Linked DNA regions of Notamacropus eugenii. The protein of the gene in region 1 binds, or shares a complex with, the protein of each later gene. Links are inferred from orthologs where the notes say so. Each region holds a gene or a part of one and is shown in the gene's direction. Other genes may lie near its edges.

The links.
Region 2: TAF1A (region 1) and UBTF share a complex: the UniProt entries of both Homo sapiens proteins name them as parts of the pol I pre-initiation complex. The link is inferred for Notamacropus eugenii from reciprocal best matches to the Homo sapiens genes TAF1A and UBTF.
Region 3: TAF1A (region 1) and POLR1H share a complex: the UniProt entries of both Homo sapiens proteins name them as parts of the pol I pre-initiation complex. The link is inferred for Notamacropus eugenii from reciprocal best matches to the Homo sapiens genes TAF1A and POLR1H.
Region 4: TAF1A (region 1) and TAF1D share a complex: the UniProt entries of both Homo sapiens proteins name them as parts of the transcription factor SL1/TIF-IB complex. The link is inferred for Notamacropus eugenii from reciprocal best matches to the Homo sapiens genes TAF1A and TAF1D.

What each region holds. Positions count from the first base shown.
Region 1 is NC_092873.1:414,091,004-414,098,881, forward strand, and holds the start of TAF1A (TATA box-binding protein-associated factor RNA polymerase I subunit A), read left to right. Parts: upstream 1-4,862; 5' UTR 4,863-5,084; coding exon 5,085-5,235; intron 5,236-6,594; coding exon 6,595-6,717; intron 6,718-7,651; exon of another isoform or gene 7,652-7,878. UniProt on the Homo sapiens protein: Component of the transcription factor SL1/TIF-IB complex, which is involved in the assembly of the PIC (pre-initiation complex) during RNA polymerase I-dependent transcription.
Region 2 is NC_092873.1:349,813,285-349,820,710, forward strand, and holds the start of UBTF (nucleolar transcription factor 1), read left to right. Parts: upstream 1-4,419; 5' UTR 4,420-4,549; intron 4,550-4,863; exon of another isoform or gene 4,864-4,992; intron 4,993-6,149; exon of another isoform or gene 6,150-6,266; intron 6,267-7,426. UniProt on the Homo sapiens protein: Recognizes the ribosomal RNA gene promoter and activates transcription mediated by RNA polymerase I (Pol I) through cooperative interactions with the transcription factor SL1/TIF-IB complex.
Region 3 is NC_092873.1:83,974,227-83,981,412, forward strand, and holds the start of POLR1H (DNA-directed RNA polymerase I subunit RPA12), read left to right. Parts: upstream 1-4,184; 5' UTR 4,185-4,434; intron 4,435-4,569; 5' UTR 4,570-4,578; coding exon 4,579-4,699; intron 4,700-4,927; coding exon 4,928-5,028; intron 5,029-5,786; coding exon 5,787-5,896; intron 5,897-6,368; coding exon 6,369-6,393; 3' UTR 6,394-6,434; intron 6,435-7,186. Other genes in the region: putative uncharacterized protein ZNRD1-AS1, read right to left, coding at 1-303, 962-1,037, 1,447-1,679. UniProt on the Homo sapiens protein: Core component of RNA polymerase I (Pol I), a DNA-dependent RNA polymerase which synthesizes ribosomal RNA precursors using the four ribonucleoside triphosphates as substrates. Can mediate Pol I proofreading of the nascent RNA transcript.
Region 4 is NC_092876.1:164,941,115-164,947,952, forward strand, and holds the start of TAF1D (TATA box-binding protein-associated factor RNA polymerase I subunit D), read left to right. Parts: upstream 1-3,826; 5' UTR 3,827-3,890; intron 3,891-4,193; 5' UTR 4,194-4,345; intron 4,346-4,587; 5' UTR 4,588-4,775; coding exon 4,776-4,875; intron 4,876-6,838. Other genes in the region: C5H11orf54 (ester hydrolase C11orf54 homolog), read right to left, coding at 3,511-3,686. UniProt on the Homo sapiens protein: Component of the transcription factor SL1/TIF-IB complex, which is involved in the assembly of the PIC (preinitiation complex) during RNA polymerase I-dependent transcription.

The sequences.
Region 1 (7,878 bases):
CTTTGGCTTGCTGCAAGTGACCAGAGGGAAGTAAACAGCCCTTAGGCAGCAGGTTGTGTAGGCCTGAGCTAGGTTCTACTCTATGGATAGCTGTTGAGGGCCAGGGTGGAGTGCGGTTTACAAGATCAGAATAGACCTTCGGGGAAACTGTTCTTTGAGACTGTGCTCATTATCATCCGGAATGGCCCTCCATGCCCCCCCCCTCCCCCCCCAGATGTTGCTGTCCAGGTGAGACAAACAAGAGAATTAACAGAAAACAAGGGATATGTAAAATAGAAGCCCTCTAGGCTCCCAGTCTGATTAAATCAGTCTTATAAGACTGATTTAATCTTATAAGACTGATTTAATCACTAGGGCAGGAGACAAAGCAGAATGTTGGTAGGCTTGCAGTTTCTGTCTATAAATACCCGGACCCTCAGATCAATAAACCGAGTTGGTCTTTCTTCTCCCGCCTCCCGTATCTTCTTCACCACATCACCGAGCCATGTGGAGATGCAGGCCATCTGCTACAGATAGCAATTGATTGGTAGCTGGTGAGCATGTCTGGCCCTTTCCTACAGAATAATGGCCTATTACCCAGAATGATGGCATTAGAATACTAAAAGAACCCTTTTATACTCTCTTCCCTCCTTTAGAATGTAAGCAGTTCATTCTTATTAAGTCCCTTCTGATTAATCACTCATTTTTACATTTCTTATTTTTCTCTTGACTCTTTTATTTGTATTTTAAATTTCCTTTTCAACTCAGGAGTTCATCAGGAATATTTGAAAGCCCTTTACTTCAGTGAAGCTTCATTTTTTGCCCTTACAAGATTGTATTCAATTTTGTTAGGCAAGTTGTTTTCATTTCAAAATCTTTACCTTTTGTACCTTGGAATATCAACACAAAATATTTTAATGTACCACAAAGAATAAAAATGATTGTATATGAAATTGTATTGTGATTGTACATAAGACTCTGGCCTGCTCCATCACCATATAGATCTACTTTACTCCAAACTGGCTGTCCCACCTTAGAGACAGAAGTCTAGTAAAAGGTAGATGATTCCATTTTGCCTGGAGCTGTCTGTCACATGAGAAGGTCTAACCACATAGTTCACTCTCCAGCTAAGCTTTGGGGTGGACTGCTACTAGTCAATCAGTAAACATTTATTAAGTGCCTACTATGTGCATGGTATTAAGTAAGGAGGATACAAAAATAGGTAAAGAACAGTTCTTGCCCTCAAGGGGCTCACAGTCTAATAGGGGATAATCTAATGTTGGGATTGGAGTTAAGAAGACCTGAGTTCCAATCTAGCCACAGTCATTTATTTACTAGCTGTATGACGCTGGACAAGTCACCGAACCTCTGGTAAGCTCTTTATAAACACTTACTTCCATCTTGCTCACTCACCAATGTGTTCCACCTCCATACTGGTTGCTTTATTTTGTTTTCCCATAGCAGAATATAAGCTCCTTGTGAGCAAAGGCTGTCTTCTTTTTGTGTTCTGAGAGCTTGACATGTGTTAAGCATTTAATAAATGCTCTATCCATGTCTGTAAACTTGTTATAGTTTTAAAAAATGTTTATAAAATTTAACAAGCCAGAAACAAACTTGTTATTTGTCTTCTCTTCTAAATTATTTTTCTGTGCATCTCTCTGGTTGTTAGTACCTCCTCTTTTACTTTATATGTACTTTGCATTTACTAATATGTATTTTCATATACTCAGCACATAGCACAGCGCCTGACTCACAGCGGGTATTCAGATAGGTTTGCTGATTAACTTTTTGCATACTAGTTCATAACAGTTTCTGTTGGCCATTGTTGTGGTGGCCAAAGGAGACCATTAAGCGTTAGATAGGGAGGACAACCAGGAGAGAGCTGTTATAGAGGTCAAAGGAGAAGGCAGTGTGAAGAAGGCGATGTTCAACAGTAAGGAATGCTGCAGAGAAATTAAGGAGCATACAGGGAAAAGTCTATTCAATCTGCCAACTAAGTCATTGAGTATTTGTGAGAGAGCAGTTTAAACTAAGTGGGAGCAATCAAAGCTAGATTGCAAGGTTCTAGAAGTTGATCACTGAAGGGGAAGAGATATAGGAGATAGTTTGAAGGGGTAACAAGATCAATGAAAAAAAAATTTAGTAGAAGGGAGGCTTAAGCATATTTACAGATAGACTGTAAATAAACAGAGAAAAAACTGAAGATGAGAAAATGATCCATAATGCATCAAGATGGGAGAAATGAGATGAACAGCTCAAATCTAAGGGTAATACATAGCATGGAGGTAGCTCACCTCATCTTCTGAGACTGGACTCTAAGCTGGAAGGTAAGGATGAACTTTCCACTCATACTAATGACCAATGTTGACTTGCGATAAATCTTTCAACCTTTCAAAGCTTCATTGTCCCTCTAAATCAAAAAATAATCACCTTAAGAAAATCACTTTTCACTCAGGTTCTCATGTGTAAAATTGTATAGCTGGATCAGATGAGCTGTAGAAGCACTTTTTAGTCAAAATTCTATGATCATGCGACTGCACTGTTTTTATATCTTTGCGGTTTAGCGAAGTACTTTGCGCATAGTAGCCATTTATTGTGTTGAATTAAATTTTTAATTTCATAAATTATTTCAGCTCAAGATTTCATCAGCCAAATCCTCAGGTGATGCCTGCAGCTCTTTTTGAAAAATGTTTTCCCCAATTTCATGTAAAAACAATTTTTAACATTTGTTTTTAAAAATTTTTTGAGTTCCAGATTCTCTCCCTCCCTTTCTCCTTGAGAGTGCAAGCAATTTGATGTAGGTTATACATTTGTTGCCTGTAGTTCTGTTAAGTTTCCTTACCAAGCTCAGGCATCTTCCTATCTGTTTTTCCATACCCATATTAATGTAATGGGGTGATGAATCCTTATTGATTTTTCCAAGTATATTGCCTTCAGAAACTGTCAGCCTTAGAGTTGGGAAGGAACTCAGAGATCATATAATCTAACCTACACATGGTAAGAGTCCCTTAAGAATTTACATTTAAAGCTGGAAAGAAACTTAGAGGTCATCTAGCTCAAATCTCTATTTTAGCGACGAGACCTTGAGATTAAACTACTTGCTCCAGGTCACATAGGTAGTACATAGATCCAGGATTCAAACCCAGATCCTACAACCAAATGCAGGGCATTTCTCATACGATACGCTTGCTAAACTATCCCTTTTAAGTGGTATCTTCTAGAAGACCTCCCATGAGGTAAACTCTTTTTCTGAGACATCCCATCCACTTCCTGAGCACTCTAAATTCAGAATGTTTCCTCACGCTGAAGTGAAATTTGCCTTTCTCTGATGGCTAATGAGCTATTTATTCCTAGTTCGACTTTGTGAAATGAAGCAGAATGGTCTAATTTCTCCTCCATTTGAAGGGCTGCACCCTATTTCAGAGCAGGCTCGTCTCTGGGCTGGGCGCCTCGAAACCTAAGACGGGCGAAATGTGCTTCTGTCTGCTCGCCTCCTGCCCAGCCTGGCTGGCTTCTCAAGTCACGTACTTGTGATCAGGGGACGCTCAGTGTCCTGCCAAGGCTGGAAGGGGAGAATTCCTTTTTTAAGGTTCAAGGCAAAGTAAAAGCATCCATTAGGAATATGTTGGCACGGGCATAATCATAACTATGCACAGTTAAACACTGTTTAACAGTGATTCCCGTCTCCCGCTTTCTTCTTCTTCTGCCCAAAACAGGAGTGGAGCGCTCGGACAGACGAGGACAGCCTAAGCCTTTCTGGCAGGACAGCTCCAACCCTCGGTCCTCGTGCTTCCTCTGCGCATCAACAGCTGCGCGCAAAGCCAAGCTGGCAAGTTCATCAAGAGTCAAAGGTCAGGGGTCATCAGCGGCCAGGCACTCAAGTGTCACCCTAAACCCCTCATTCTCCGGATCTGAGACCACAGTGACGGGAAAACCTATTCCGGGAATGCGGGATCCTCAGACGCCGGAAGCGGGGGAGGCGAGAGGCGCCGAAAAGGGGGGGGGGGGTCAAAGGAAGTGACGCAAGCGCTCTCTATAAGGCAACACGCGAGCGCATGCGCCGTCGGATCGTGCTCCGCTGTGCGTTTCACTGCATGCTCCCGGGCTGTCTGAACTTCCGCGGGGTTTCCTCTGGGTCCTAAGGAGAGGTGGAAAGAGGCCAGAGCCGAGCTCCGGTAAGTGTCAGAATGAGAATTCACAGATTCAGGAGCCGCTAACGGTGACTGGGCCTAGTCTCGGACGTCCCCTTACGTCTGGGCCCGCTTATTTATTTTTTTAGTAATGGCTCGGCCTTGTTGCCTTGGGAACTCGAGCCCCTGCCCTCTCCCTTCCCTCGCTTCCTTTCCCTCCTCTACCCCCGGGGAGGCGAGGCTTGGTTGCCATGGTAACCGCGTAACTGGGAGGGCAGACCGGAGGCGGGGAGGTGGCCTAGGACCCTCTGCTCGTCGCTCCGGCTGAGGAGGGGCGGTAATTGGTGAGGTCACGGCCGTCGTCTGTTAAGTCTCGTCCCAATTACGAAACCTCTGTGATGGAGGTCCTAAACTTTACGAAGCTAGTGATCAAAGCCCTGCGGTGGCGATGAAGATGATGATGGCGATGATGGGGATGGAGAAGGACTTCTACGGGGGTTTATAAAGTAACTTCCTCCTAACCTCACGACCCCTAGCAAGCGCCTACTACACCCAGCGTGTGCCCAGCGCTGGGCAGGGGGCAGTTCCCGCCCCCAAGGAGCTCGCAGTCTAATTGAGGGGACACCCTGCGGACAGATCCATGCAAAGACAGCTGTATACTAGGTAAACAGGAAATAGCGAGCCGAGGGAAAGCCCTGCAACCCAGAGGGTGGGGGAAGGCTTCCTGTAGGAGGCGGGATTTTTAGTTGGGACCAGCCGGGGAGGTCAGTGGTCAGAGCCGAGGAGGAAGAGCGGTCCAGACTCGGGGGTCAGTTTGAGAAAGTGCCTGGAGCCAGGAGAAGCGGAGGTGCCCAGCGTTTTTGTGTGCCCTGCTGGGAATTACGCAGCTCCGTGGTGAAGTGTCAGGGCAGGGATGACAAAAAGGAGGCTTTAAAGATCCGTGGGGCTTGCGAGGGCCATGCCGTAGGCTGTCTGATGATGCCCTCACAACCACCTTGGAAGCAGGGGCTGCGGCGGACTGATCCTGACTCAGGTTCTGCAGACCTCCAGCTCAGGGCTCTGCCCACGGTGTCACTTAGCTCCACGCGGACGTGCGAGTCCGGCGCTTGTCCTGTGCTTTTAGAGAGTGAGTTATGGTGTATGTAGTGAGAGCTGTCCTTGGGCCAAGGCTGACATGTAGTGACTGTATGACCCTGGTCAAGTCACTTATCCACTTGGTGCTGTAGACAACTCTGAGTTATAGAAGAGGCCCTGACCCACCTTGGTGGGAGGAGTTTTCTCATAGGAGTTCCCCCTGTCAGTGAAGTGACAGGTCCTGTCCCTGGTGCTCCTTGTGTGTTATTTCATTTGGGCAGACAATATGACTTACCACATTTAAAAAAAGAAGCTGAAGTGCCTAAAGATTAAGCCTTTGAAAATGAGGAAGCTGAGTTGATTTCTAAAGGTTCATCCACCTCTAACATTCCATGAACCTCTGTTATATTATATAATACTTTGTGGTGTACTCAGATTATTTCTTGTCTGTTTTTCTTCAACTAAATTGTTCTGTCATTCTTAATGAATTCTAAGCTCCTCTTATATAACAAAATATTAAGTAATTGTCTACAGTAGAAATCTCAAATACTCCCAACCAGATTAAGAAGTAATTGAAAACTATTTAGCAAAATAAATATACATAGAACATAGATAATGTTAATATGTGGTTTCTTAAGTTAATATGCAGCTTCAGGGATCCTTATTATTTAGAATTTAGTGGACTCTGTTTCTGTTTGGGATTGATACCATTGTTCTACACATCAAACCACTAATTAGAAAATTGTGATTCTTTTTACACTTTATCCTATCTCTGATCACTTGTTAAAGCAGGCTGGTAGAATCAGTAGTGTCTTGTCACAGATTTAACAGTGAGAGGACTTGAGTAGACTGTATGAGAAAACTGAGGCCCAGAGGGCATGTGTCACATAATTACTAATCAAAGGAAATTTCACCAAGTCCAGTCCTCTGTTAATATCTGTTAACTTGAGCAAAACCATGACTGATTTACATTGTTAAAACCTATAAAACTTGTATTAAGATCTTAGATTTGAAGCTTGAAGGAACCTTAGAGATCATGCCAATTGAGGCAGACACTGATAAGTGACTTGTCCAGGGTCACACAGTTAGGAATTGTCTGAGGCCAGATTTGAACTCAGGAAGATGAGTCTTCCTGACTCCATGCCCAGGCCTGACTCCAGGGACTCTATCTGCTGTGCCACCTAGGTGCCTATATACTGAAAGTGCTTAATAAATGTCTTTTTAAATTGATTTATATGGATGTTACCTTCTGGTCCATTTCAGTTACTACTGACAGCTCAATTTTGTTTTAAACTAAAGGAAATTCCAGGCACATTGAAGTGCATGCTATATTTGTTAGTTTTTTAAAAATGCTTTTTGAGCTATAGATTTATGTGCAGAATTTGTAAATATTCTTTTTCATTTGGAGTAGATATGGATACTTTCAGTGATGAACTAACGAGTCCTGGGGAAGAGGATGATCAAGTAGAAGCATCAGTAGGCGCTGGTCCAGAAATACATTTACCTTGGCGTTTACAGCACATCCAGAGTATAGGTAAGTGGAGCTGAACTATGGGAATAATATACACAATATGAAAAACAGATATAGGAATTTGGGCTTCCTGATTGTTTGGATTCTAGATAAATAAGAGTTACCATATCATGAGGATTTCTTTATAAATCTTATTCTTTCACTGAAAGTGGGCCTCATATACTCTTAGGGTTCTAGGGAAGTATGTTTCCCTAGTATAGGGTTATGAGCTATATACTATATGCAGTTATCCTTTCCACATTGAGAAGTAGGGGGTTAGGGGTGCAGCACCCCTGTAATCTGGAAAATCTACTTAAAATGTTTTGGCCCTCTCTTCGTACCAGAGAAGAGGTCTGATTATTTTCTTTTTCTTTCATGGAGTGTTTACAATACCTTATAAAATTTAGGTTAAGTATTTGACTCTGTGTCATCTGCTGTCCTTTTAGTTTCATGTGTGGCTTCCACAAAACTCCCCCAAAATTTCCTTTTAATTTTTTATGCTGGCCCACAATATATAGAAACCACAGTGGGGAAAGTTGTAAGGTGGAAAGGATAACTGTATAGTATATATTCTTAACTCTAGCTTATATTTTTTGGAAAGATAATTGGATTGAGAATCAGGCAAGACTTAGATTCTAGATGTCACTCTGGCAAATATTGTCATTGGGACTTTGGGTAGATAAATTTACGTCTTTGCTTCTTAGCTCCTTCATCTGTAAAATGAGGTGTTTAGACAAAATGACTTTTTTGTACTTGAGTTTTTATTTCATAATCATAAACTTAACTATATTGCCTATTCAGACTTGTGAAAGGAATCCAAAGAGAACTGTAGCAAGTGAGAGCACAAGCATTATAGGGTATGAGAGCAGTAGGAATTTAGGGGGCTCTTCCTGGTTTAGAGGAATGGTTTAGTGGTTAAGATAAAAGCAAAAAAATCCCCAAAAACAAAATAAGCCACTTATGAGAGGTGTCCACAGTCAGGAGTGGTGATCTTCTTGCTATTCTTGCCATCCCAGGAAATGAAGTACTCCATGGCTTCTATGATGTTCATATATTTTTTCACTTAGCCAAAGATCACATGCTTGCCATCTAGCCAGTCAGTCCTAAGATGAAAAACTGGGTGCCATTTGTGTTGGGCCCAACATTTGCTATGGACAAGGTGCCAGGACCAGTGATGAAATTCTC
Region 2 (7,426 bases), about 64 Mb from region 1:
ATCCAGAGCCTCTATATCAAAGGAAAAATATTGCCAGCATCCAAAAAGAAACATTTTGAATACTAAAGAACCACAAACAGGATCACACAAGACCTGGTAGCTTTCATAATATATGGAAGATGTTGGAACATGATATTCCAAAAGGAAAAAAAAAATGGGACTTATAACCAAGAATAATTTACCCTGCAAAGCTGAATATAATCCTATGGAGAGGGAAAAGGTGGAAGGATTTTTTTTCTCTCATGTTTCAAGTATCTCTGATGAAAAGATTAGAGCCAAGTAGAAATTTCGAAATATCAGCATGAGTCCAGAAAAACCTAGAAAACTAAATTTAGTTCAGCAAATGGAAGGAGTTGTATAATGATACAGTACTGAAGCTCCAATAGGAGAAGACATTTACCTTCAGAACCTCAATGTCTTCAGAGTATTATATAGCAGGAATTAAATTAGAAAAAGAAGGGCCTGATGGTAGATTGATTCTGTTCTAAAGGTTTTAAGAAGGAAAAGAGTAAAATAAAAGGAAATATACTAGTGTAGAAAGGAGGAAGAAAGGGGTGGAATTTTATATTCCTTATAATTGTTACACATTTAAAGAGCACACAAACATGGAGCGAGAGGGATGGGCATCAGCTACACCTTACTTTTATTTGAAACAAAGGTGGGTTGAACACACAATACAATTTAATGTAGAAATACATTAAACTCAATAGGGAAACAAGGGTGGGGGAGGGTGGTGTATAATTTGAGGTTAAGGGGAAGGATAATAGCTGGGAGAGAACAGTTACAAACAAAACAAATTTCCTGATCCTAAGACAGTATGGGAGGGATGTAACGGGGTGGGGGGGGGGGGGGCGGTTGGGGGGGGGGGGGGAGAAAAGCAAAGAGCTGCTAGAATCAAAGGGTGTGTTCAGCAACTGGGGAATGCCTAAATTCTTATTACTCTGTAAAAAAAAAATTACAGAAAAGCAAGATTTCAGAGAAATCTGGACAGCACAGACTAATGTAGAAACAAGACAATGATTTGTACAAGAACAATAATATTACAAAGGAAAACAATTTTGAAAGGCAGGAACTCTGATCAAAGCAATGACCAACCATATCTCTTAGAGGACCTGTGAGAAAGCATGTTACCCATCTCCTGACAGAGGTAATGGACTAAAGGTGCTGAGGCATACATTTTTGGATGCGGTCACTATGTGAATTCATTTTGCTTGACTATGTTTGTTCATTAAGGAGTTGTTTTTATCTCTGTGTGTATTTTTAATTGGGATTAGGGATGGAACTCTATGGGGGCAATAAAGCTTAATAAAAGTGATTCTTTTAAAAAAGAGAGCCATTGAAACTTTTTCTAAAAATTTGCAGAAAAGAAGGAAGTTTATCAGAAAGCATAGACAAGCCGGTTTTGAAATTAGCATGTGAAATTTATTATGTACTTTTAGAAACAGTATAAAATGGAGATTCATGGTTTCATAAACAAGATCTTTTTTTTTTATTTTGTTACGTGTATGGAAACTCACTTTTTTTGCCATTTAAGTTGAGGAAAATTAAAACAAAAAATTGATTTTCAAAAATCTACATATTTTGCTAGAATATTTTCTAGAGTACATTTTGCCTGCCTTTTTCCATTGCCTCCACAAACAAGTTGGTCACATAGCAGGGATTGTCTGGCCGGATCCCCATGCCCACCACAACAAAAATGGAAATGGAAGAAATTAAAGGGAAAGAAAAGAATTGTCATCATGCTCTAAACCCTACCTTGTATTTTACGTGTGTTCATGTTGTATCTATCTCCTCTAGTGGAATATAGGTTCCATGAGGGTAGACAGTTGTGCCACTTTGAAAAAGAAAGAAAAGCAAGCTTTGCTTCTCCAATGCTATTCCACATAATAGAACCTTAATCAGTCTTTGTTTAAGTGAATTGAAACATTTCCAGAGTTCACTGAGTCTACCCTATCTAGACTTTAATGCAGCTAGGTGAAGAAGTGAGTGAGTGGCCAGAATGCAGCTGAAATGAGTCAGGAAAGTTTGAGTTCAAATTCGGTTTCATGTACTCAATGCATGACCCTGGGCAAGTCCATTAACTTCTACAGGGTCTCTCCTGTTTCTCATTTGTAACATGAGGGAGTTGGGTTTGATAGGGTCTAAGGCTCCTTCCACCTCTAAATCTAGGAGCTTTTGAATGAAGTCAATCTGTTGATTAACTGTTTTTACTATTATCTTACTTCATGCCTTTCAAGCCAGGTTATCCTGGGGGTTGGGGAGGGGGTGAGTAGGGAGAAGGTTTGCTAGGGGAAGAAGGCTCGATGAAGCTGGGTTCCAATCTGCCAGGTCTCTTGTATTCACTTCCTAACCTCAAGAGGAAGGCAGTGGACATAAACCAAACAGCCTGCTTCCAAATGGGAAGGGAGCCATCTCTGACTTTTGTCAGTCAAGGAATAAAAACTCCATAATTGCCATTCCTGTAAATGGGAATAACCCAGCTTCATTCCAAAGTACTTTACATAATGGTGTCTTGGCCCAGCAGCACGTAAGTGCAGGCTAGGAGCCAGGTCTAATTCGGGAGAGGGAAATCTTCCTGAGCCTCAGTTTCCTCCTGGACCGTAGGGGACGCGAGAAGGGAGGCCGATTGCGTGGTCACTTCCAAGGGCCCTTTCAGCTGGAAATACCATGCCAGTAATACACCGGTGAGCGCACAGAACATCCATCTACCGTTGCTACATTGTCACCATCCACAGACACTGATTCGGTTGTGCTCCAGGCACAGCGAATGTGGATACAGGGATATCCTAAATGAAATAATCCCTAGCGGAGAATGTAGCACTCAGAAGCACCAGTTTTGGCCTGGGCTTCCCCCCCATTATGTAAGCAGGCAGATGTGTGATGAGGTTATGCTGGGAACGTGTTTTGAATCCTCCCTGGAAACAGGAGGGAATACACAAGCGTCCGGCCATCCCCTAAACACATGCTTTGTGGGTGAGAAAAGCAACTGTATCCGCACCAGAGTGTGCGTGAGAGTGCAGGGCGAGCCTCGCTGCCCTCCGCCCGAGGAGAAAGGCCATCCCACCGCCCACCCCGGCCCAGGCACCAGTACAAGCCTCGTGGAGGAGCTCCCCTCCTAGAAGGTCCCTCGGGTTCCCAGGGCTGAAAGAGCCATTTCCTCCGCCGAGGAGACAGAAAACCAACCGGCCAGCAGAAACCTCCTGCAGAGGAGGAGGGAGGGCCCAGGCGCCCCCCACCCCCTGCAAGTCTCCGATAAACCCCAGGCCCCGGAGGGACAGTTAAAGCTGAGAAATGCCTCCTCCTTCTCTCCCCGCCCCTGACGCAGGCCTAACAGGAAAGAGGCCGCCTAGGAGTAGAGGGGGATCCCGGCCAGCTTCGGCAGGCGGGGGCTGGGGCTGCCTGGGTCCCTCCCGCGCCTCTCGCGCCGGGCGGGGGTGGGGGGGTTGAGACTGCTCCAGCCGCCCTTTCTCCGGGATGACCCAGGCCTTTTTGACAAGCAAGCTGATCCCGTGGTGGGGATTGGCTAGCCGGACCGTGACGCCCATAACAACAAAGGTGGAGTTGGAAGAAATTAGATTAAAGGGGAGAAAAAAAATTAAAGGGGGATCTCGCTGGGGCGAAAAGGAGACAGACCGAGAGGGAGAGAGAGGAGAGAAGGCCGATCCAGCTCCCCATCTGCACCTCTCCCCAGCCCTTTCCCCGGAGCCCCGCCTCGCTCCTAGCTCTCCCTTCGCTCTCGAGCTCGGGTTTGGGGGTTTTTTTCGCCTAGGGGTGGGAGGTAGGGGGAGTCTTCTCTCTGGTTGGTGACAAGCCTCCCTCTTCAGCATCATCGCCCACCCTAGGGGAGAACTTTTGGAGAAAATCACGCGTATTACGAATTCCACGGAGGGGCATAAAAACCAGAAGGCCCTAAAGGAACAGAGCTGGAACCGAAGGGGGGGGTGCTTTTTTGTTTTTCTGGAAATATAAGAAGAGAATTTAGACATATCATACCCCCCCCCTTTCTCCTCCTCCTCTTCTCTTGGCTTCAGTGTTGCAAAAGCAAAGAGCAATAAAAAAAAAAAAACGCGCACACAGACACACACAGAGACACACACAACACCCTAGTCGCGAGAAGGGAGAGTTGAAAAGAAGCAAGAGGGAGAGAAGCCAGGGAGAAAAGAGAAGGGAGGGAGGGGTGGTGTGCGGGGAAAAGAGAAGCAGGTTTCCTAATAAATCCACCTCCGTCTCTCTCCCCCCCCACCCCCCTCCCCTCTTCTCCAGCCCAGGGTAGGGAAGAGAGGAGCCGGAGAGAGCAGATGGAGGAGTGGAGTCCGCTGTAGGGCTGTGGAGCTTGGCTGGAGGATGGAGGAGCCGCCAAGCGCCCGGCTGATTGGAAGAAAAAAGCAGAGCGATGGAGGCGGGGGTAGGAGGACGATTTCTCTGCGGGGACTGGCGGCGGAGTCCACGCCCGGGTCGGGCGCTGCAGAGCTTGGCTAGCTTTCAACCAGCGCTCCCCGGCACCAGCCCCACTCGCCCCCCACCCCCGGCCCTCCCGGCGGCTCCGCAGGTGAGTGCGAGAAGGAAGGGGAAAGCCACAAAGAGGGGAAAAGTGGTGGGGTTTTTTCCTTTTTCCAGCCCCCCAGCGGGAGGGGAGGGGTCGGTGGGGGGAGATTGAGGGAGCTCGGCCGAAGAGGAGGGGGAAAGGAGAGGCCGGGGAAGGCCTGGGAGGCGGCGGCGGTGGGGCTGGGGCACTGACAGGGCGAGCGCTCGGAGCGCTGCTGCGCTGCGCCGGGGCGGGCGGACGGAGCGGGGCGGGCGGAGCGCCGCGCGTGTGGCTCGCCATTAGCCGTCCCTCCGCTTCGCCATCGCGGGCTTTGTCTGGCGACTCGCTCCCCTGGCGTCGGCTGCAGCGGTAGCTGCGGATCGGCTCTACGTCCCGCTCCCTCGCCCAGCCACCGCTCCCCGGATCCCCCGCGGCCCTCGACCCCACACCTAGATACACGGAGCCGGGTAAGGAAGCCCTTGCGTCGCCGTATTTCAGGGTAATGGGGGAACGGAGAGAGGAGCTGCGGGAGGCGGATCTCCATGCGCTCGGGGAAGGCCCGAGCGAGCCATGCCGAGCCGAACTGAGCCTGCTCCTTGGAGGCAGCACTTCAGACCCGATTCCCGCGGCGTTTCCGGGGTGTAGAGAGAAATGGAAAAAAATGGGGGGGAAGGGAGGTTTGCTGTGATTTTTTTTTTTAAACAAGATTTTGGGACAGTGTTTTTCTGAGAAGGCGAGCGAAGCCCGGCGAGAAAGGGGAGAAAGCGGTAGCCGCCGCTCTGCGGCCAGCTCGTTCCCCGGCCCCGCAGCGCCGATTTGGGGGTGAAGGTAGTGGTAGTAACGAGGAGCTAGCAGAGGGAAGAGGGCACGGATTATGCCCCGGGAGGTAGACGGAGAAGCAAAATTTCTGTGCCAGCTCTGCAGAAAATAGATTATGGAGATTCCTTTGCTCCTTCCCAGGGTCAGGGAGTCCCCTCTCCTGGGCCCGGGCCTTGCGCCCTCCAGCTCTGGCCGAGGCTGCTAGTTCTCCTACGGGTCTGGGGAGGTCGCTCTCGCCGCCAGTTCACTCCTTCTCCCCGGCCCCGATCTCCACCGCCATCCGGGCGGCTGCGTGTCTCTTTCCCTCGGCCCCCCCCTAGCCGCCACCAGCCACCGCTGCCGCCGCCATCTCCCCCCCCTTACTTCCCTCCGCCTCGGCCGCCCGGGTCCCCCCCAGCTCCCCGCCCCTCCTCCCAGCTGCCCCCCGTGGAGCCCGCCCGGGCTGGGCTGTGGGAGGGAGAGGAGCCTTCGGGGCGGGCGGGCGCTCGCTCCCCGGGGGTCGGTGTGCGCTCTACGGGGAAGGACGCGCTCGCTGCCCCGCTTCTCCCGCCCCCCCTCCCCGCTCCTCCTCCTCCCTTCTCCCTCCTCCTTCCCGCTCCGGCGGCGGAGGCTGCAGCGGCGACGGGGGGTGTGCTCGCTGAGCCCGGGGCCGGCCGGCGGGCGGGCTGGCTGCCTGCAGGCGGAGGGCGCTGTGCTTTGTGCTTTTCGCCGCGAGGAGCAGCAGCAGCAGCAGCCGTCGCCGCCGCAGCCACAGCCGCCGCCGCCCCAGCAGCAGCAGCAGCAGCAGCCGCCTCAGCAGCCGCCGCCCCAGCCGCGCTCGGAGGAGGAGGAGCTGCCGCGGGAGGGAGCTGCGGCTGTGCCCGGCAGAGCGGGGGAGGAGGGAGCCGCGGGAGCGGGGCGCCCGGACGCCGAGCTGCGCCCGGTAATCGCGGGACCAGGGCTGGGGAGGAAGAGCGAGAGCTTGCGCCGGAAGGCGAGATCGAGCAACGTGGAGGGAGGGGAGCGAGGGCCGAGCTCGGGAGGACGGCACCCCGGGAGCACGGAAGGGGAGAAAGGGCCGGAGAACGTGGGCAGGGGCCGAGGAGCTGGAGCAGGAGGACGGAGCTGGAGGCCGCGCGAGGGGGCCCGAGCCCCCGGGAGAAATCCTGCCCGGGGGGAGCTGGAGGAGGAGGAGGCTGGGGGGGAAGAGAACGCTGGGCAGACGGAGGAGGACGCGCGGGGCAGCCGGGCGCGGGGAGGCCCAGGCCGAGCCTGGCCGCGGGGCGGGGGAGCCCGCGTTCCTCCCGGGGCGGGAGCCGCAGTTCTCCCGGATCGCCGGAGGGGGCGGCGGGGACGGCGAGTCCTGTACGCCCCCGCCTGCCCGCCCGCCCGCCTCCCCGCCTGGCTGCCTCCCTCCCTTTCGGCCTTGGCTCGGCTCCCCGGGGGCCGGGGCGGGGGCGCCGCCCGGGCTGGGCCGCGAGGCCCGGGGGACGAGGAGGTGCTGACTCCGACCGCTGGGGCCGCGGCTGCTGCTGAGCCCGGCTCCGGATCGGGGGGCGGCGGGTTCCCCCGGGGCTGGGGGTAGGGGAGAGCTCCAGCTGCTCGGCCCGGGGCGGGCTGGCCCGGGCTGGCGGCTCGGGGAAGGGGGGGAGGGCGGTAGGAATCCGGATCCGGGTCCCCGGGGGCGGTGCGGCCGCGGCGCTCCGGGGCTGGCGGTGCCTGCGCAGCGTCCGGGTCCCCGCCGGGCTGCGGAGGCGGGGGGAGCAGGGAATGGGGGGGGCGGAGGAGGAGGAGACTGGCGCGCGCGCCCCTGTTCCCGCGGCGGCGCGCGCCCTTTACCCGCCCTTCTCCTCCCCCCTCTCCTCCGGCCACCCCCTCCTCCGCGCGTGGAGAGAGTTTTGTTTTTTTCCTTGGGGTGGAGCTCGCTGCACCCTGGAGCCCTGAGCAACCACACACGTGGGGGCCTGGGAGGACTCCTGCAAGCCTGCCCACCTCCCCTAGACGGAGCCCTGCTGCAGGGGTGGGCATAGAGTAGGGGGTAGTCCAGAGGGTGGGTGGGAAGTGTGGAGACTGCCCCCTTTCTTTCAGGGGGAGAAGCTGAAG
Region 3 (7,186 bases), about 330 Mb from region 1:
CTGTTCTGCTCTGTGTATGTGACACTCTATTTGCTTTAACTCTCTTTCTGATACTACGTAGTCCCATTCTTCAGACTCTAAGCTTCTCTGGCTTTTTGGTGTTGTCACTGGCTCCATTCTGGGCTTTTTAAATTCATTCTGTTCTTCCATCATTTCCATGATTCTCGTATAGTAGTAATTCTCTGCCTTAGCAAGTCGGTGGTCAAAAGACATAGCCTTTTCTTTAGAGAGGGTCTCATGTTCCTCTTTATGTCTTTGAGCTAACAGATTTCTTGCTGCTGGAGTATGCACACCACCTAAACTCTGTCAAAATGAAGGGATTTTTTTTTTTCCATTTTTCTACATTATTGTACACAAGTATGTAGACCAACTAAACTGTCAAAATGAAGGGATTTTTTTTTTTTTTACATTTTTCTACACTATTGTACACAAGGGAAGACAGTGAAGGCTCCCTCAGAGACAAGACACTGACTGGCTTTCTCTACCTTTGGTAAAAATAGCAATTAGGCTTGATTCACTTTCACTGCTAAGTGTATATACATACATACATACATACATATATATGTATATATATATTGAGGCCTCATTGCTAACAAAGTAAGAAATATATATACCATGATGATTATTTTTGAGAGTTTTCAACCCAAAAGTTTGACTTGAGTTCAAATTCAGTCTCAGACACTTAACTAGCAATAACTGTGTGATCTGGACAAGTCACTTTAGCTTGTCTTCAGAATTATTCTGTAGAATGAGGATAATAGTATCACCACCTCCCAGAGGGCTGTGGTCCATGAGAATCAAATGAGATCATATTTGTAAAGTGCTTTGCAAATCTTAAAGCATTATGTAAATATTAATATTTTGTTTTCCAACCTGAACTGGGAAATTTTGCTAGCACGGAAACTTGCTAAATGAAGATACCATAACTCTCTATTGCACAGTGCTATGCTAATTAACTTACCACAATTTTTTTTTCTAGTGGAGAGTGATGACCTATGGCAATGCGAGGGTCTTCGGTACTTTTTGCCCAGGATAATCTAAACAATGAAAAAGACATAAGTATTAAAACTTTGGAAACTGTTTTAAATAACTAAGATAATGAGTAAATTCTATCACAAAGTTGGACCAAGAAATCTAATGCTTATATAACTGTAAATAAGGGTATTTCTCAAGCAAGGACTTTTTTCTCCCTTCCCACTAATACTACATTAGATGTGGATAGATACATACACATATACACACATATATTAAATACATAGATTATTTATATATGTATATTTTATATTTATATATATGTAGATATGTATACACATATACATACACACAAAAGAGAGAAAAAGGGTAGTTTTTCCCAATGTAAAGAAGTTGCCCTTTCTGAGAAGAATAAGGAAAATTTTGCCCCCTGATTTGTTCAAAAATGGAACAATAACCCAAAATTGTGCTTACTTCTCTTGAGGACTTAGCTTTACCCATTCTGAGTCTGGGAGTGTAGAGCTGGACACAGGAGAGCCTGGCTTCTCTTCTGGTATTCCATTATCCCATATTTCTACACTAGATCCAGCACTCTTAGAACTTCTTTTCTTTTCTGGCACATTTCTTATCTCTGGACATTTCAGCTCTTTCTCCTTCTGTAGCCTCTTGGCTCTTGCCCTCTGGGCCTCAATCTGCAGATACAACATCTTTGTACTCTGGTTCTTCTTTGTCCCAGTCTGCTCCCTAAGCTTTAGTTACCAACCTTTCCCTTTCCTACCCTTGCTCTCAAATCATCATTCAAGAGAGTTACTCTCCAACACTCTAGTCCCTAATACTCTGAATAATCTTCTGACATCCTTTAGGATGAGAAGTTGCTGTTGACATGGGTTTATTTATAGTGCAGGTTGATGTCAACACAAGGGAAGGTCACAAACATTCTTCTATGTCATCACTGACCTAGTCTGAGGTTACATGAGATTGCATGCTTAATATTTAAATGATTTAGATATTGCAAAATTGATATCCCACTAGATATTTTCTCTAACACAGTCACAACCCCAGTTTGGGTCCTCAGATCACTTCTTACCTGTTCTGAAATATACAACCTTTTAATTGGTCTCTATGCCTCAAGTCTCTCCCACTCTAATCCATTCTTGACATAAAGTGACTTTCCTAAAGTGTAACTTTGACAAAGTCATCCATCCTGCCCCTTACCCCACTCAGTAAACACTCAATATTTTCCCATTATCTATAGCATCAAACATAAGCTCAATGTGGCATTTAAAGTCCTTCATAACCTGGACTCCTCCTAGCTTTCCAGTTGCAATAAAATCACTACTATTAGAGCTCTCCCCTTCCCTACTACATGGGTTAGGCTAGTTTTTCCTTGAAAGGAAGCAAAGTTGTTCTAAGAAGTTGATGGGGGCTGAGAGTATTCAAACTGTGCTTTCCTTGAAGTAGCCTCTGGTCATAATGGCATGGTTTACCTGTGAGCCACCTATATGGATATCAAGGTCCTTCAGATTTGGTGGGTGTCCTAAAACCTGTGACTGTAGAATCACCACATTCTGCCCTGGTGACCAGACAAATTTCCTGGTCTATGCAAACTAAAATGCTGGAGTATCCTTGTTGAATATCCTTTCTATGATATGGCTGTGCAAACATTTTGTTAACTGATATTCTAATGATCTATGAGTGCTTCATTTCATTCCAACATGAATTAGGTCTGCCCCAACACCAGTTTTCTTACACATTACTCTCCTCACACACTGTACAATCCAGTCTATTTGACAATCCTCACACATTTAAGTTCTCTCCCATCTGCTCACCTTTGTACTGACTGCCCTCCATGAACTCCTCACTTCCATACCTCTTGGAATCCCTGGTTTCAAGACTTAGTTCAAGTACCCCCTTCTGCAGTTCTTGGTCCCTTCACAACAGCTAGTACCTTTCCTCCAAAGGCTACCCTCTCTCTATTCTACATGTGCTTACTTAACATACATGTCTCCATTAGAATGTAAGCTCCTTGAAGTTACAGATCATTTTTTTGCATGTTCTTTGTATTCTCAGTGTTTAGCATAGGCCTGGCATGTTTTATAAGTTTATTTAATGCATACTTTTTTTTATATAAGCATTGTTGTTTAATCATGTTTGTCTTGTTGGACTCTTTGTGATCTCATTTGGGGTTTTCTTGGCAAAGATACAGCTCATTTTACAGGGAAAGCAAACAGGGTTAAGTGACCTGCTTGTGATAACACAGTTGGTAAACCGAGAGGCTGGATTTTCATTCGGGAAGATGAATCTTCCTGTTTCCAAACCTTGAGCTCTATCTATTGTACCTATAGATACATATAGATACATACCTATGTATTATAGCTGCTCCTATATAAGCATTAAGTATTATTACGCTTACATGGGCAGCATCACTCTTGGAGGTTCTTGTGGAGTTGTAACAATATCTGTGAAATTCCATGAAGAGTTTGACACTACTGAAAAAACGACTAAAAACAAAAATTCCACTTACAAAAGCAAACCTATTTTAGAAACGCTTACTGATGGATCAGCTAATTTGATAACTAAAATGGATTCCACTGTTGCACATGACCCAGTTGGAATCTCACAGATATTGTTAAAACTCATTGCTTCCTTAACTACAAAGACCTCCAAGAGTGACGCCGCTGCCCGTGTACACCTAAATCATCTATCCTTGCCAAATATCTCATGAATGGGAACACCATATCTTCTCATGGAAATCCTCCTTACTCCCTGGCTTCTTGTATTTTCTCTATAAAAATGAAGGTCTGGGGTCGAGAGGAAGAGATGAAATTATGCTCATGTCTGAGTTCTGATCTCCGACTACTCTTGCCAGATTGATTCATCTGAGATTAAATTCCCATCATTCAAAGGCTCCCCCCCCCCCCAACCCCGCCATGGCCTAGGAAGGGAGAAGAGGCAAAAAAAAAAAAAACTACAACGCACAGCGAGTCCGGCTCCAGCACCCATAGGGAAGCCTCCGGGTCCCCTTACTGTGTAGTGCAAACAGCAGCAGCAGTGGGACAAAGGCCTGGGGGAGGTTGTTCCTTAAAGTCACACTGCGGAACAGACCTCGGGACAGAGACTAGACCCGGAGGACAAGAGGAGAGAAGCGTCTGCTCGAGTCTAGAAGATAACCCTAGGTACAGAGGCCGCGCCCGTACGTCCGCCGTGGGCGGGGCTGCGGGGACGCGGAAATCTCGCGGCGCTCCAGGATGCTGGAGGCGGTCACGTGTTCTCACTGTGACGCTACAGCCTCTCCAGAGCCCGGCGCTCCCCTAGCCCAGCCCCGCGTGGCCCAGCCCCGCGTGGCCCAGCCCCGCGTGGCCCAGCCCCGCGTGGCCCAGCCCAGCGCAGGCCGGCGCGTCTGCCAGCGCGAGCTGACGTCCCGATCCGAGGCGCGGGCTTGCTCCTGGAGCCGGAATCCTGGTGAGAAGCTACCGTTGGGGCAGGATGCGGGTCGGGCACTGAGAGCAGTCACGGGCGGAGGGAGGCAGGGGATTCGCCGGACCCCAGGTCCTGCGAGGAGAAAAGAATGGCCCCCGCTTAGTCTCTTCCTCCCAGGTCATCTCCATGGACTCCAGCTTCCATTCGGACTCGGATTTCTGCCCCGAATGCGGCTCAATTCTGCCTCTTCCAGGAACTTTGGACACAGTAACTTGCCCCAGGTGTGATTTCTCCATAGACGTGCGGGGTAAGAGCCCCTCTGGAATAAGAGGCTTTGACGAGCATGGATTCTCGGTGCAGGGAGGTTGTGGGGGAAGGCCCTGAGCTTGAGAGACAGTCTGGTGTCCAGAGGCCAGCCCTGAAGGTGCCATTAACCAGGGGGTGGGACCCGTAGGGACGGAGAGAGGCCGGGGGAAACGGTGCAGGATCTCACCTTGTGCCTGAGCAACGAGCAGCCCTCCTCCTTCTCTTCCAGAGTTCGAGGGGAAGGTGGTGGCCACCTCGGTCGTGTTCCACAAGTTGGGAACACCCCTGATGGTGCCAGAGGAAGAGGGGCCCGAGTTCCAGGGACCAGTGGTGAGTTGAGTGAGAGTCATTCCGCTTCAGTTACATGGCTCCATGAGACGTTAGATCTCGAAGTCTTAACATATGTATGGATCAAGCCAGCAGATTCAACAAATAATTATTATCTTTTCTGTGTACTGCATCATATCATTAGATATAATAGGGGCCTGCAGTGTGTAATATTTTGAGGCAAAGTGGATTGGTAAAGGCTAAATCTAATTCATGCAAAATACAAGATAATCTGAGAAGGTGAAGATCAGTTTTAGCTGAAAGATAAGGGAAGGTTTCATAAAGGAGTTGTAAATCTTAGGCTACCAGAGATAGAAGGAGCCTTATAGATTATCCAGTCTGATTTCATTCAATGAAAATGAAATTGTGGCCCAGACAGATGGTGACTTGCCTAGAAACAAACAGCTCTTGGGTTGGGCAGTTTGGGATTTGATCTCAGATCCAAATTCAGCATCTTTCTGCTGTATTACATTGGGCCTTAAAGGAAGAGAAGAATTTCAACAGGTGAACACATTTTAGAAATGGTCAATAGGCTACAGTTAGGATCAGGAAACAGCTAGTTAATTAATCCCTTTTGTCTGGCTGTAGAGCACAAGCAGGGGAATACTATAAATAATAAGCTAAGTTAGACATAGATTGTGGTGGGAAAACCGTAAAATACCTGGCGCACAAGTTGATATTAAATTCTATAGGTACTAAGGAACCACTGAAAGTTTTTGAGCAGGGAGCTATGAGTCCCTCCTAATTTACTGATTTCTCAGATTGACAGGCGCTGTTCCAACTGTGGTCATGAAGGAATGGCATATCATACCCGGCAGATGCGCTCAGCTGATGAAGGACAGACTGTCTTCTATACCTGTACTAATTGCCGGTGAGCAAGGATTTCCTTCTTTCCTTCTCCTCCAACCTCCTCTCCCCGAGGTGTTAGGACATGAATCCTACATCTGGATCCACAGTGGGTCCAAGTGGATTGTGTTCTCAGCCTCAGATTCATAAAGACCTCAATTGAAATTTTGATTCTGATACTTACCAGCTTTGTCACCATGGATAAGTCATAAGTTTGCTCAGCTTTAAAATCATCTTAATACCTACTTCACAGGGTTCTCATGACACTTAAATGAGAACACTATGATTATTAATATATACATTCAACAGTGGTCAAGCTCATCCTTTTCCTCCCACTGTTTCCACATAGCCCAGATTAGTTGAAGAGTCTTTTCTGAGAAAACACGTCAGATGGGAAAGATATGTGACTTCTCTTGATTGATTGTCCAGTTCATTTCTAGGAAGTACTTTCTGTCTAATCTGACAATCTGTCTACTCTGACAATCTATTCTCTTTAGGTTCCAAGAGAAAGAAGACTCTTGATCACTACCTACCAATTGGACTCAACTCGTCCTATTTGAAAGGTAGGCCCCTGGTTAAATGCTGAATCCTTATCTGACACCCTAGACCTGTCTGCTCCTGTGGTACCATGCTCCCTTGTTTTTCATCTTCTTATAAGTGATTAAAGCTATGTACTTTTTGTAAAGCTGTAGTATGTTTTCAAATTTTTGTGGTTAAGATCCTAGGAAGAGAGTGGAGGAGAACAAGACAGTGCAGGATGATGGAGTCCCCAAGGCAATAATACTACTTAGTATTATTACTGTCTGCTATTGTGGGAGAAAGAGAAATGGATCTAGAGTCAGGAGTGGCCTGAGTTTGTATCCTGCCTCTGACACTCGTTAGTTGTGTGACTGACCATGAATAAATTACTTAACCTTTCTAATTCTTAGTTTCCTCATCAGTGAAATGGGGATAACATAAATATAAAATACATATATTATCTTACAGTTACTGTGAAGGGTCAAATGAGTTGTAATGCACTTGCAACATAAATATCTTCAAAGGGTAATTCATTCTTATCAATTTGGGTATTCCCTCCAGTGGTACAGATTGCAACTCATCCCTGTCCAGCCTGTGTTTTTTTATTTACTTTCATTAATGCTCTCATTGGGCCCTTTCTTGCATCCTCTTCCATTGTGTGGATCCTAGTAGAGCACAAAGGCTGGTTAGTTCACTGGTTGCCTGTCTATGTGGTGATGAGTTCACTTCAGTCTGATCATACTCTTTGATGTCATATTTTATACTTCTCCCACGTAATTCCTTATTTGTAATGTGT
Region 4 (6,838 bases), on another chromosome or scaffold:
CATGACAGAACTTTCCCTAGTTGCCTCCTTCCTCCAAAAACCTTTTATTTATTTTGTATATAGTGATAGGGTGAGAGGCAGTATGCTGTAATGGACAGAGAATTGCCTTCCAAATCAGGAAATCAGAACTCTGAACCATACCGTCTGTGTGACCTCCTGGCAAATCAGTTAACCTTGTTGCCCTAGTGAATTCTCTGAAAACTACAGTACATAATTTTCAGAGAACGGGTTAAACTGCATCAGCAGAGAAAGCTTCATTATCAGTGAATTCCCCACACTAATGAAAGCACAGGTCCAGTCCTGATACTTTTTAGAAGATCACGGGATCATAAATTAAGTGCCCAAAGGGACCTTATTAAGGAGATCAGAGTCCAACATGTTTGTCTATTTCACAGATGAGGAAACTGAAGTACAGAGAGGTTAAATGATTACAATTTGAATCCACATCCTGACTTCAAGTCTGTGCCTATCCCATGTCTACCAACAGAATATATACTGGAGAGAAAAAATTGTTTTATTTTTGTCTTTGTATCTCCAGAACCTTGTAAATGCTTGTAGATTATCTCAGAAAATGTGGACAAAATTGTAAATAACTACTGAGAAAGAGAAGGAAGGATTAAGCATTTATATAGCACCTACTATGTGCTAGGAAAGGTGCTAAGTGCCTTTTTTTTAAAACAACTATTATTTCATTTGATCCTCACAACAATCCTGGGAAGGTAGGTGCTATTAATTATTGCCATTTACTGTTGAGAAAACTGAGGCTGACCGAAGTAAACTGACTTGTTTGAGGTCTCACAGCCAATAAGTATCTGAGGCCAAATCTGAACTAAGATCTCCTTCTCTGATTCCAGGTCCAAAGTACTATCCACCAGACCACTAGCTGCCACCCTTGACTTCCTATTGGGGGTCTTCAGTGCTGCCTTTCTCAAGTGATCCCAAAGTGAAATACAATCCAAATTCAACACTTCTTTCAAAGCCTTCCTTGATAATCCACCTCCCAACCCATGACTCTCGTTCCACAATATGTATGTGCGTGTGTGTACATATATAGGCTGTATTTTGCACTTCCTTCTATACTATTCTATTAAAAATCATCTCTTGTAATCTAACTTAAACTTAAAAATCCTACTATACCATCTTTGACTTGGTGAAATCTCTTCCCTGAGGGCCCGCCTCTTCAGTGCCAGTTTTAATTTTTTGCAATTCAAAGAGGTTGACTTCTTGGCTTCAGGAACTGTAAGTTTTCCTCACAAGAACAAGCATCAGATGCTGAATAAGTTGTTCGGAGGGTGGCACTTGGTAGATAACATGAGTCAGGGAGAATGGGGTCTTATTGATGGGGCTACCTTGGGGATGGACAGGTTAGAACAGTAACAGTTCTTCTGTCTTCTCAATAGAAAAAAAACAGCTTACTGAAGAGTAGGTGTTCAGTTTCATTGCTTAAAAGTAGGTATATCACTGTACAATAATGCAACATTTTAAAAATATATAACTTATTACTTGTATTACATTGATTAGCTGTTTGAGGTTGAAGAGCAACCCCCAACACAACCAAAAGCTTTTCTGTATTTCTTGTTTGTTTACCTGACCCTGGGCAAATTCCTTCTCAGTGCCCCAGGCACTTTTCCAAGACTCTAAACTGCAGAGTAGGTGGTGCCTTCTGTATAGAAATAGGAGGCCTTTCTTCACAGGGAGTTTCCTATACCTTTGAAATGATGTTTGATCCAGAAAACAAAAAGCCTCCATTCCTTCCCCCCATCCCCACACAAAAAAAGAAAAGACAACACTCTTTAATCTCCACCTTCCCTAGGGGCTGGCACACAATACAGGTAGTTTGTACAAAGGTACATTTAAATGGCCCTTTGGCTGTTGCTTTACTAGTCCAAGCATTCAACAACCAAGGCATGACACTTGCCCAGGATTTTACACCAGCACAGATAAGTGGGGAACCAAAAGGCAGAATGGCCCTCTGAAAATCTGGGATGACCAGAGACAAAACATAAAGAGCTAGTGGTTGAGAATCCCTGCGTCAGCTGCTAGTTCAAGACAGATATGACATGGGGCAAATCAGAACACAGCTCCAGCCTCCCCAGCAGAAGTTCATAGCTTGAGAGTAGGAGGCATATCTTCCTGAAGGAAGACCATCGCTAGCACCTAGATGACACGGTAGCTTGTTAAGTCCTCCTCCTTCTCTCCCTGGATTCTTAGACCCAGTAAGAAAGGCAATATTATTAGGTGCTGCTAAGTGGTTACATAAATGCCAAGCATCATCACCCCCACATCATGGTTGGGGAAACTTCCACCCTTGTGTCCCCTGACCCTGGCCCAGGCCCTGTCACTACCTGCCAGAGGAGGGGCTCCCCACCCCTTGGGAAGCCCTCCTAGGGCCTTGTGCTGGGCATGTGGTGATGAGGTTCAGACTCTGGGAACTTCCTTGAGCTCCCTTGGAATCTCCTCACTTAACCTGACCTTTTATACACAAATTGAGCTCCTCGGGTATCTCCCCACAGAACCTGGCTTTTCATACTCAAATCTGGGACCATTACCTGTTATCTCTCGATTGCCCCACCTGCTTCCCACCCAAACCCTCCAATGTCTGCTATCTCCTGATAGCCTCCAGCTGTTTCCAGCCTGTGACCCTCCTTGGATTCCCTCCTAGGACTTCTCCTCAAGACCCTCCCTAAACCCCTCCTCCCATCACCCTGGACCCCAGACCACCCCCCCAGATCCCTCCTACAGTCTTTTCTGTATTTAAGTTCCATCTCGCCCCCATGAAGGCGCTCAGACTCTGTCTAGCTGGGATTCCATCTAGCCTGCTTGTGAATACAAGCCTTACACATGCTTGGGCTGCTTAAGAGGCAACTCAATTAGGCGAATCCTTAATAAACTTTGTTTTCTTTGGCTTTGAGAAGGCTTGAGTGAAATTCATTCAAGCTCCACCTGGACCGTCGGTATCTTGGGGTCCCCCTTCACCCCTCAACCTCTTCAGTGGTGCCCTTCTGTCTCAGGCAGGAATGCACTTTGGTAGATTGAGCCTCAAGTCACGAAGACCCGAGTTCAAATGCAGCCCTAGCCAGCTAGGCGACCCTGGGCAAATCACTTCTCTGTGTGCCTCAGTTTCCGCATCTGTAAAATGGGGACGGTGAAAGCGCGGCCTGGCAAGGTAGCGCTTAGCACAGCGTCAGGCACACAGCAGGCGCTTAATAAACGCTTGTTCCCTTCCCTTCCTGGAACTCCGGGCGCTTAGCAGCGCAGCGACCACACAATAAACACTTAAGATTTCACTGGCTGACAGGCTAAAAGAGGCCTCGGGACCTGGCTGGGGCCACACCCCCCGCGGGGGGCCCCGGGCAGAGCTCGAACTCGGGTCTCCCTCGTCAGCTCAGCCGGTTCACATCGCGCTGGGCCGCCAAAGGCCGCGGCGAGGGAGGTTGGCGGGGCTCCCCCGAGGTCCCCGCGCTCCCTCCTCCTCGGCCGCCCCACCACACTCCAGGCCGACCCACTTACGGAGCCTCGGCCGCCCCCTCCGCGTCAGCCGCTCGTCCGGACCGCCGCGATGGCAACCTGGACGGAGGACTGAGCGCACCTGGCTCCGCCTTCTCTCCATGTCCCCACCCGCTCCCGAACTCTAGGCTCCGCCCCCGCCACGCAAGATGGCGCTCGAGGGAGGGGCACGACCTCATTCCCACTCCGGCTCCTCCCCACGCTCTCCGCTTCCGCCTTCCTCCTCGCGCCAATCCCGCTCCCGCTTTCTCAGCCGGCAGCCACCTGATCTCGCGAGATTTCGTCACCCTTCTTAGTCAGGCGGCGAGCTCCCAGCGTCCTTTTTATTCCTCGCGCACCTGTAGGTCTGCCTTCATCTCTGCGAGTGTGGAAGGGAGCGCATGGTGAGTGGCCCTCTTTCTCTCTCCCGTCTTCCTCCCTGCCCGGGGCAGACTTCTCACTAGGCCTCTGGTGACTTGGCCCTTAAGAGGAGCCAGGAGGCCCTGTTCGGGTTTCGCCGTGCGGCCTCCACTGGGCCTCGCCCCGGTGGGGGGCTAGCTGGGACGAATCCTCCGCGAATGTCGGAGGCCCAGGAGCGCCGGCTGGGTCGTGGGCCCGGTGGGAATGCCCCACTTAGTGGGAGTCGGTAATACTTTTTCTTCCCTCGGGCCACACCGATATTTCGATCTTAATCGGCGTGATTAAAGAAACGGGAGCTTCTCCGGAACCCCATTCATAGAACAGGAAGCAGGCCCCAAGAGGGGAGGCGCCACGTGGGTGAGATTCAGCGGGTTCCTCCGCGCCGCACGAGCCCTCACGAGAAGGGCTTTGGGAACCCGAGGTTCTGGTAACGTAACGGGTGAGCGCGCGGGGAGATGGTGAGTGGCATTTCTGATGTAATCGGGACCACGGAGAGACGCGTCCGAGGCCGCGCGGGCGGGAGGAGCCTGGGCGGGGCGGTTGGGGAGACGCGTGAGCTCGCAGGGAGGTGGGGAGGAGGGAGGGCCGGGCCCAGCCTGCAGGGACCCCCCTCCGTGCCGCAGCTCGTGTTCTTGGCAGAGAGCCTGGGGGGGGGGACATTTTTTCCGGCTCCTTTTACAGATGAGGAAACCGAGGAAATAGTGGCAAACAGGGTGAAAAGTGACTTGCCCAGGCCTGCTTTGCCATGAGACCGCCTCGCTGTGTGCCTCCCCTCCTCCCCATTGGATCGTAAAAAGGTTGGAGATGGAGTAAAATGGTCTCCAAATTAGCTAAAGTACAAAGGAAGCTCAGGGAATTCTTATGACTGGATGAAAATTAGGAAACTAGCCAAAAACTGCTCCCAAGTACAGCCAATTAACTCCTGTCACTGGAGGGGGAGAGAAAAAGAAATCCTCCTGGGGGAAAAAGGTGAGTGTTGGCTATTCACCTAGGACTTTAGTAAAAGAAATAATTATACATAATATTTGTATAACATTTCTGAATAATGACAAGAAAAACTACCCGTTCTAGACAAATACGTTGACCACCAGATCGAATCCTGGGTCTCAGGAGGACCCAAGTTAAAGTCCTGCGGGACTTACTGGTTCTATCATCCTGGGCAAGTCACTTTTAGCCTATTGCCTGCCTCAGTTTCCTCAACTGTAAAGTAATGGTGATAATAACATCTACCTTTTAGCAAGGTTGTGAGGATCAGATAAGGGTTTCTTTGTAATTGTGTTTTCCTATTCTCTCCCCACTGTGCCGTGTGTTGGAGGAAGGGGACCCATAAACAGTACCGATGCAGGAAAAGACTCAGCACTATCCACTGCCCCCTCTTAGCTGCATGGAATAGGTCATAGGAATTGAGGCTGTTGAAGTAATAGTTTCTGGTGTTTGAAGGAATTAAGGCATGTATTTGAAGTCCCCTACCGCAGTGATCGGTACTAGTCCATGCCTGCTATGTGCCAGGCACCGTAGTAAAGGGATGGGGTGACAGTTCCATGCTCACCGAGTGGGTACATCAGACATCCCAGATGGTACAGAGAGGTTAGAAATTGGGTGTTCTGTAATCTCCCTGCTTAAATGGAGGTTTTGTAGTCCATGGCTTCTCTTTCCAGTCAGGGACAGAGGGTGGTGATAAGGTGGAGTAACCATGGCTGTTGAGATCTTTTGCAAGATGAAGAGGTTTTTTCCAATAATGAACTTCCTGGGACTTGAAAGTGCAGACAGGTGAGAAATAAGGCCAGAACTGGAAGATCCTTAATTGGAAGCTTTGGGGTAATGGCCCCACCCACCAAAGAGGCAGAAGGTAATTTAGTGATGCATTAGAGAACCAGAGGTTGATCAGCTCTTATAGCATCAAGTTACCGGTAAAGACCTGTCAAAAGTCTACTAATCTGTACATCAGGATCCCTGCTGGCCCCATATTAGCTTAATTTAAAAATGTGATACTAAGTTGTACTGTGTTTTTATTGTTAAATGTTTCCCAGTGACATTTTTGAGGTATAAATTGGGTTGAGAAGTCTTGAGCCTGTAAAAACTTGAGAAAGGAGGGAAAATAACCTAGGATCTGGTAGATAATGACCACTATTGCTAGTGAAATTTAACGAAAAATGTAAATAGAAGCAAATATCTCGGACCAAGATAACAATTTTATTAACTGGGCATGAACCTGAGGTCAATGGCTGCTTCAGTTTCTAGCCAAAGACCCCAAATTGAAGATGCAGCTCATTTTTGTAAGCATAGAACAGAAAAACAGTACAGAGCAGGTAATATGTATGGTGTTGAGAACCCAATAGTTGATGGTTACATAACTGAGGTATGGGGTACAAGATTGGTTGGAAGTTTGGTAATGAGGGGCGCTAGCAGTGACCACCTCCTTTCCTCCTGTGACTAAAAAGTATTCAGCTTCAAGAACTAGTGACTTTGGATAACAAACTAGATATTCTTGAAAGGATTGCTTGGTGTGGTGTAAAGACCCTTATGGCAAACCACATCCTGAGCTTAGCTAAAGAGAACTGGGTTTCTAAACTTAAACCTTTTACAGGCCAGTTGAATTCTGGACTATGCTCATGGACAAAGAACCCTGATTAAGGCAGTTAACAGGACAAAATAAGTGAATTGTAAATAGGATCCAAAAAAAAAGTAAATCAGTTTAAACTTCTCACATCCAATATCTAAATTGGGCAAGTCAGCTACTTAATATTAAGTACCTACTATGTGCCAGGACCTGTACTAAGCAGTAGGGAAACAAATAAGGCATTCCCTAACAGGAAGACAATACACAAAAGCTGAAAAAGGAGGTATGGGCAAGGTATCCTGCACTGGGAGCATGGTAGAGTCTAGTCCAAGAAGTGCATCTGGTGGGAAAAGAGTTGACTGGTGCACGAGC